Linked DNA regions of Macaca mulatta. The protein of the gene in region 1 interacts with the protein of each later gene in a biochemical or structural test. Links are inferred from orthologs where the notes say so. Each region holds a gene or a part of one and is shown in the gene's direction. Other genes may lie near its edges.

Evidence for each region. The genes of interacting proteins can lie anywhere in the genome.
Region 2: the proteins of TBP (region 1) and MSX1 form a complex in vitro, tested with the Homo sapiens proteins (2 studies listed by BioGRID). The link is inferred for Macaca mulatta from reciprocal best matches to the Homo sapiens genes TBP and MSX1.

What each region holds. Positions count from the first base shown.
Region 1 is NC_133409.1:1,484,013-1,487,512, reverse strand, and holds part of TBP (TATA-box-binding protein), read left to right. Parts: intron 1-799; coding exon 800-887; intron 888-3,206; coding exon 3,207-3,298; intron 3,299-3,500. UniProt on the Homo sapiens protein: The TFIID basal transcription factor complex plays a major role in the initiation of RNA polymerase II (Pol II)-dependent transcription.
Region 2 is NC_133410.1:8,115,602-8,119,577, reverse strand, and holds the start of MSX1 (homeobox protein MSX-1), read left to right. Parts: upstream 1-1,176; 5' UTR 1,177-1,423; coding exon 1,424-1,892; intron 1,893-3,976. UniProt on the Homo sapiens protein: Acts as a transcriptional repressor. Capable of transcription autoinactivation.

The sequences.
Region 1 (3,500 bases):
TTTTGCTAAAGACACTTAGCTGTTGTTTTTCAAAAGATACGTACTTTGAGAGAACTCATTTTCATAATAAATAGTGACTTAGGTTTGCCAGGCGTGGTGGCTCATGCCTGTAATCCCAGCACTTTGAGAGGCCGAGGCGGGCGGATCATGAGGTCAGGAGATCGAGACCATGCTGGCTAACATGGTGAAACCCCATCTCTACTAAAAATACAAAAAATTAGCCGGGCGTGGTGGCGCACGCCTGTAGACCCAGCTACTCGGGAGGCTGAGGCAGGAGAATGGCATGAACCCAGGAGGTGGAGCTTTCAGTGAGCCGAGAATGCACCACTGCACTCCAGCCTGGGCGACAGAGCGAGACTCCGTCTCAAAAAAAAAAAAGAAAAAAAGTGACTTAGGAGTAGGGTGGTGGTGGTGGTGGCTTTTCAGAGCTCACAGGTGAGAAATGAGTTTGTCTGTGAGAAGGCTAAGGGCATGGCTCTGGAGACAGACTCAGATCCTGGCACCTCCACTTGGGAGCCATGTGCATCCTGAGGAAGTTGCACTACCTTTAAGCCTCAGCTTATTTATCCGAATGTGGGAATACTGGTAGCTTCTACCATAGTGCATTATAAGTATTAAATGGAATAATCTATATAAAATGCTCAACATGTGCATGATACTTGTTAAACAATAAATGTGAGCAATTTTAAAAAATTAAAGCCTGGTTGAAATAATCAAATGTGTGCATAATTTCTAACACCTCATCCAGTGAAGGTTAAGTAATTTAAATAGTCATGTTTTCTTTTTAAATTTCTTACAGAAATATTGTATCCACAGTGAATCTTGGTTGTAAACTTGACCTAAAGACCATTGCACTTCGTGCCCGAAATGCTGAATATAATCCCAAGGTTAGATCTATTTTAATGTGTTTCTTTTTTTTTCTTTTTTGTCTTCTCTGTCATGTCTCTATATTTTAATGTATTTCACGCTATGTAACAAATGTCTGTAGATCACTCTAGGCACAGTGGCTAATGCCTGTAATCCCAGCACTTTGAGAGGCTGAGGAGGGAGAATTGCTTGAGCCTAGGACTTCAAGACCAGCCCAGGCAACATGGCAAGACCCTGTCTCTTAAAAAAAAAAAAAAAGAAAAAGAAAGAAAAATCGGCCAGGCTTGGTGGCTTACACCTGTAATCCCAGCACTTTGGGAGGCCGAGGTGGGCGGATCACCTGAGGTCAGGAGTTCAAGACCATCCTGGCCAACATAGTGAAACCCTGTCTCTACTAAAAAGACAAAAATTTGCCGGGAGTGGTGGCTTGTGCTTGTAATCCCAACTACTTGGGAGGTTGAGGCAGGAGAATCACTTGAACCTGGGAGACAGAGGTTGCGAGTGGAGATCGCGCCATTGCATTCCAGCCTGGAAACAGAGCAAGACTCCATCTCAAAAAAAAAAAATCTGTATATCAAAGAGTTTGTGTTATGCTTATTCCTTGACACCAACAAAATGAAGATCTAAAGTAAAATGTGCATTGTTTTGTATCTTTTATTGAGTGTCTGTGATATCAGAATCCCTGGGAATACAGCAGTCTATAAAACAAGCTAAGTTACATATATATTGTATTGGGATCATGTGAAGAATTTTGTATATGTATAGGGATGATGTTTGCCAGCTATAGTAGGCAAAGTAATTTGGATAAACATTAGCTGGGTTGAGAGAAGTGTTAGTAATGGACTTAGGGTGCATTTTAAAACCCCTGAAACATAATGCCTAAGATCTGAAAGATAGCTAAGCTAGGGGTCTGAAAAATCTCCTTTTAACCACTCATAATGAGTCTGTATGACATGTAGCATTTTAAGAATTAATCTTTCATCTATTATAATATTTAGTTGAATACATAATTTTATTACTTTATGATCTTAAGTGAAGTGATACTTAACCAATAGAAATAGTAGAGGAAATTCTGGAAATGCAAAATAGCTAGGCTTTTCCTGGGACTTAGATAAACTACTATACACTGCTAGCTTTTTTAGATGTTGATAAAAACACAGGGAAGACATAGAGCAGTTTTTAAACTAAAATTGTTAAAAGCCAGGCACGGTGACTCAGACCTGTAATCTCAGCACTTTGGGAGGCCAAGGTGGGAGGATCGCTTGAGGCCTTCGAGACAAGCCTGGGCAACATAGCAAGACCTTGTTTCATCAGAAAATTTAAAAAATTATCTGGGGTTGGTGGCACACACCTATAATCTCAGCTACTTGGGAGGCCAAGACAGGAGGATCTCTTGAACTCAGGAATTCGAGGCTGCAGTGAGCCATGATTCCAGTCTGCACTCCAGTCTGGGCAACTGCAATCCAGTCTGGGCAACAAAGTGAGACTCTGTCTCTAAAAAAAAAAATTAATAAATTAAAAAAATAAAATTGTTAAAACAATCTAGTTTGTCAGAGTCATCTCAATTAGAAATACATAGGTTTTTATTGTATAATTAAATATAATGTATTAAAATATTTAAGTTGTTTCAAAGTAATTACTTGCTTTTTATCATGTACCTAATAACTGAGGCCATTAATTCAACCCACAGTTGAAATATTTTCCCCATGAGTTACCATCTTAGCAAGAAAATTTTCTGAAAGAATTAACGTGTTTCAAGCATAAAAAGCAGAAAATAAAAGTTAAAACTGTGTTTCTTTCCTAATTTGCATTTATATGTGTTTAATACATTAATATTGTTTCTAAAGGCCAATTGGAAGCAGGATTTTACTTCATTACATACTGGTATGCTTGTAATCTGATTTATTAATTCCATTAAGGTAGAAAACGTTTATTGGTTTATTTGCCTCAAAATTTATATTAATAAAACAAAATTTATCATTAGAGAAACTATAGTCATGATAAGCAGCAAATATAAAGTAGAAACCGAAGCACTGGTATTTATTGAGAACATGACCAAATTTTGCAAACATTTCTGTTGGTGGAATGCTCATGTGAAAGAACATACAGATCTTGGTATAACTTTGTCACAATTGATTATTTTCTGCTCCTTATGCAAAGGAATATTTGTTACATGTGGTGTATGCAAATCCTTTACAGATACGCAGAAATACAGGACAAATATTTTGATAACTAGATGTACTATGTCCTTCCTACCAGTTGTGATTTGTCAATGTGTAGTTCTCCTAACAAAATTGAGCAGTTTGGCATGACCTCACTAATGATTCTCTCTATTTTAGCGGTTTGCTGCAGTAATCATGAGGATAAGAGAGCCACGAACCACGGCACTGATTTTCAGTTCTGGGAAGATGGTGTGCACAGGAGCCAAGAGGTAGCCGTAAGAAATTCATTCTTCTGGTTTATGGGTTGTGAACGAGTTTTTAGGTTATTAGGTTAGCACTTTAACATGTTATTACTGCTTTCTTATTAAAATGGTTGATTCTATTAATTGTAGATACCAGTGATTTCATTTTCTTAAAAATTAGATATGGACAGGTATGGTATCTCACACCTATAATCCCAGGAGGCCAAGG
Region 2 (3,976 bases), on another chromosome or scaffold:
GCACAGATCTTGCATCTCCCCTGACCCCAACTCATTTTTTCCTGTTACTTTCTTTTTATTAACAGCAAACATTAAATCATGTTTTCTCCGAAATCGGCAAAACAAAAGTTCTCAAGTCCCGCACGAGAGTCCACCGCCAGGAACTGTCCTCTTTTCCCGGCCCCCTCCCCCAAATGTGACTTTCCCCTCCAGAATCAGCGACCCAGAGATAGGGACATGTCATTGTTTCCGCGGACGCGTTGTTTGAGGTCACGTTAAGGTCAGATCGGTGTTTTGTTGATGTTTCTGTTGGTTTTATTTCTATATCAAAAGAATCCGGCAGCTCCTTTCCCTGGCCGGGCCCTATAGGTGTTGTGACCCTCGGGACAGAAGTTCAGAGCGAGGGTGGGGGAGAAATACACATGGTGTATGAAAGCCGACTCCAGATTCTAGATAATCTTATGTATTTTCACATCCTTGGCACCACAGGAAGCTGGCTTCTTCCCGCAAGGTTTACTCCAGCTCTGAGTTAGAGACAAAGGCCCACTTTTACCTCTAGGTAAAGTTTAGAAGATTTCAGAACAGGAAGAAAATGAAGGTTTGATTTTGTTTCGTTTTTTGGAAAGAAGTTAATAGTATGTCTTTCTCCTAGGATAAATAGCCATGCGTATTTTAAAAAATATATAAAAGGAATGTATAAGAAATGACCTCAACTCAAATTATTGTAATAGAAGAAGGGGGGGGGGGTCAGATAGTGGAGAAGGCACAGGGAAACCCAGCCACAGACTAAAGAGAAAGGTAAAAGAAGCAGTAGAGGAGAGAAACAAGGACGGGGGAGGTGGGAAGAGTAGCGGAAAAGAGGGCTGAGGAGCGGAGGGGAGGAGAGGAGGACAGAAGAGACTGAGCAAGAACAAGGGAAAATCCCCCGGGAACACAGAAAGATAGAGACCCAGGGGGACCCCCGCAGAGAGGGCCTCCTGGGCTTCAGCGCGGAGGAAAGTTCCCCGGGCACCCCCTCTCCTCTCCTGCCCTCCGCCGCCTGGGCCCTGCCCTGCGCGCCCCCAGGCCCAGCGCGCCTCCGGGAGAATCCCCAGGAGCGCGGCCCAATGGATCGCTCCGGGCCCGCCCCCTTGCGCGCTGATTGGCCGCCGCCGCGCTGGCCTCGCCTTATTAGCAAGTTCTCTGGGGAGCCGCGGCAGGGCGAGGAACCGGCGGGTGCTCCCGGGAACTCCGCCTGTGTTGCGGCGGCGGCGGCGGCGACCACCAGGAGCCAGGCCCAGCGCGCCGGAGCTGGCCTGCTGGGGAGGGGCGGGAGGCGCGCGCGGGAGGGTCCGCCCCGCCAGAGCCCCGGGCGCTCCCAGAGGCAGGCAGCGCTCCCAGCCCGCCCCGAGCCCATGCCCGGCGGCTGGCCCGTGCTGCGGCAGGAGGGGGGGCCCGGCTCTGCATGGCCCCGGCTGCTGACATGACTTCTTTGCCACTCGGTGTCAAAGTGGAGGACTCCGCTTTCGGCAAGCCGGCGGGGGGAGGCGCAGGCCAGGCCCCCAGCGCAGCCGCGGCCACGGCTGCCGCCATGGGCGCGGACGAGGAGGGGGCCAAGCCCAAAGTGTCCCCTTCGCTCCTGCCCTTCAGCGTGGAGGCTCTCATGGCCGACCACAGGAAGCCGGGGGCCAAGGAGAGCGCCCTGGCGCCCTCCGAGGGCGCGCAGGCGGCGGGTGGCCCGGCGCAGCCACTGGGCGTCCCGCCGGGGTCGCTGGGCGCCCCGGACGCGCCCTCTTCGCCGCGGCCGCTCGGCCATTTCTCGGTGGGGGGACTCCTGAAGCTGCCAGAAGATGCGCTCGTCAAAGCCGAGAGCCCCGAGAAGCCCGAGAGGACGCCCTGGATGCAGAGCCCCCGCTTCTCCCCGCCGCCGGCCAGTGAGTAGCCAGAACCCAGGCGCCGAGGGAGGGGGCCGGGCGGGGTGTGGGATCCGAGGGCTCCTGCTGGCCTCCGGCGCCTGCGTACCTGCAGCCAGTGCTAGGGAGTCGAGGGCTGCAAGGCCGGGTCTTGCGCCTCCCTCCATTCCCACCCAGGAAGAAGGTTCCAGACCTCCTCGCCTTGGCCCGGAGACGCGGGTGGGAGTTAACGGATAGGACACCGTTGTCTGGGCACCCTGTCCTCCTGCCCCCACCAAACGACCCCGGGGGTCCATGATCCCTCATCTGATCCCAAACTCTGTTTCATCGGCTTCACCCCAGCGGATGAATGTGTGTGGTGCGCAGATCTTGCCTGCACCCGGAGTTTCACTTTCTCACAGTAGGAGCTGGCGTCCCCCAGCTCCTCTTCGCTTTCAAGTACCTCTTTGCCTAGAGGTTCCGAAGCTTCTACAGAATTCCACCTCCCCATGCCCTTCGAGTTTGAGGCAGATAGTTGGTGCTTTGGGCGGATGGATGATTCAGGGGTGGGGACACTCAAGTTCCAGTGGAGGGGGCGGGGCACCAAGTCAATTAGGGGAAGGCGCCCTCTTTAATCCTGTCGGAAGCTCACAAATGTCTAGAACTGAGCCATTAAAGTGGACTCCAGGTGCTCAAGGCAGTTCGCTCCAAGGCCTCGCGGCCCCCTGGCTGCTCTGCTCAGAGAACACGCTCGCAGATATTTCAGGAGCACGGGAAATTCCCAAGTTTTCCTCGTTTCCTCCGATTATTTTGCTCGGCATAATAGCAGCCAGAATTCAATGGCGTGATGCTGAGGAATGATTTTTATCTGGGGATTAAACGTCTTTGAAAGGCCAGTCCCTCCCTAAGCCTAATGGCTGGAGAAGGTGGCCCCGCGCTGGGTTGTCGCCGCTGAAGAGAGTGACGTTTCTCTCGGCGCCCGCCCCTCGGGCGGCCCGCCGGAAAGCTAGTTGGGGGCCAAGCGCTTCCCGGACTCCCGGTGGCCTCCAGCGGGGAAGAAGCGGGGTGTTAACACGAGATTTCGTTTGACTCATATCCTGGTGGTCTGAAAGTCCAAAGGATCGTTGTGGGTTTTTCTTTTTTTTTTCTGTTTGTTTGTGGTGGTTGTTTTTTAAAAGAAGTGTGAAAAAATGTATGCTTAGGCAAAACCCGCGTGGTGAAACATCCTCGATTTGAATTCACTTTCTGCCAGGAAAGCTGCTGCATAAGCAGAGTGTCCTTTCCAACGCTTAGGGCCTTGGGCCCCAAGACCACAAAGTCATAGCGATCCCGGCCGTGTTGGGAATAATTTGTTCCACATTTTATCCGGGGGCAGTCCCCAGCGGACCCCATCCCCGACCTGCACTAGTCCTGCGCTCTAATGCTTCTTCACCGTCCACCCTTGAGGTTTATTTTGAAGTCAAAAGAAAAAGACAGCTGGGCATGTTGGTGTCTGCTGACTATGCCACAGGTTGAGGGGAGAGGCAATCTCAACACTTCCCCCCCTCCCCCCCGCCAACACCGACACACACACACACACACACACACACACACACACACACACACACGTTTGAGTGGGGCCAGGGGGCCCTGGCGCCAGGGGTGAACGCAATCCAACAGAGGACTGAGACAATCAAAAGAAAAAGTCCGTTAGAATAAAGCAGCCCCTCGTTCTCCACTCCAGATGACACTTTCTATTTCTAAGAGTGCGGGCTACAGTGCACCCTCCATGATGGTCTGCGCTGCTCCACCTCTGGTCTGCGGGAACTACTCCTAGAATCCCGTAGGAGCAAAGCGTTCCAGGGGATAGTGTAGAATTTGATCTGGATTCTATGCCACAGTAAGGCCTAGCCCCCGCACTGAAGCACTTCGCGGGCACTGATAAATGTTTGGCCAGCATGTAAAACTACATGTGCCCTTGGGCTGGGCGCAGGTCCTCTTTCTGCATGTCTCGTCACCTGTATTAACATCCACCTTTCCTCTGTGTGGCCGTGGGAGGAGGCCGGCCATGAAGGCCTTCCTAAGCCGCCAGGCAGCACAAAGGTGATTCCACATCTTCCCAGCTGTTTGGGCCTTAGACGTGGACA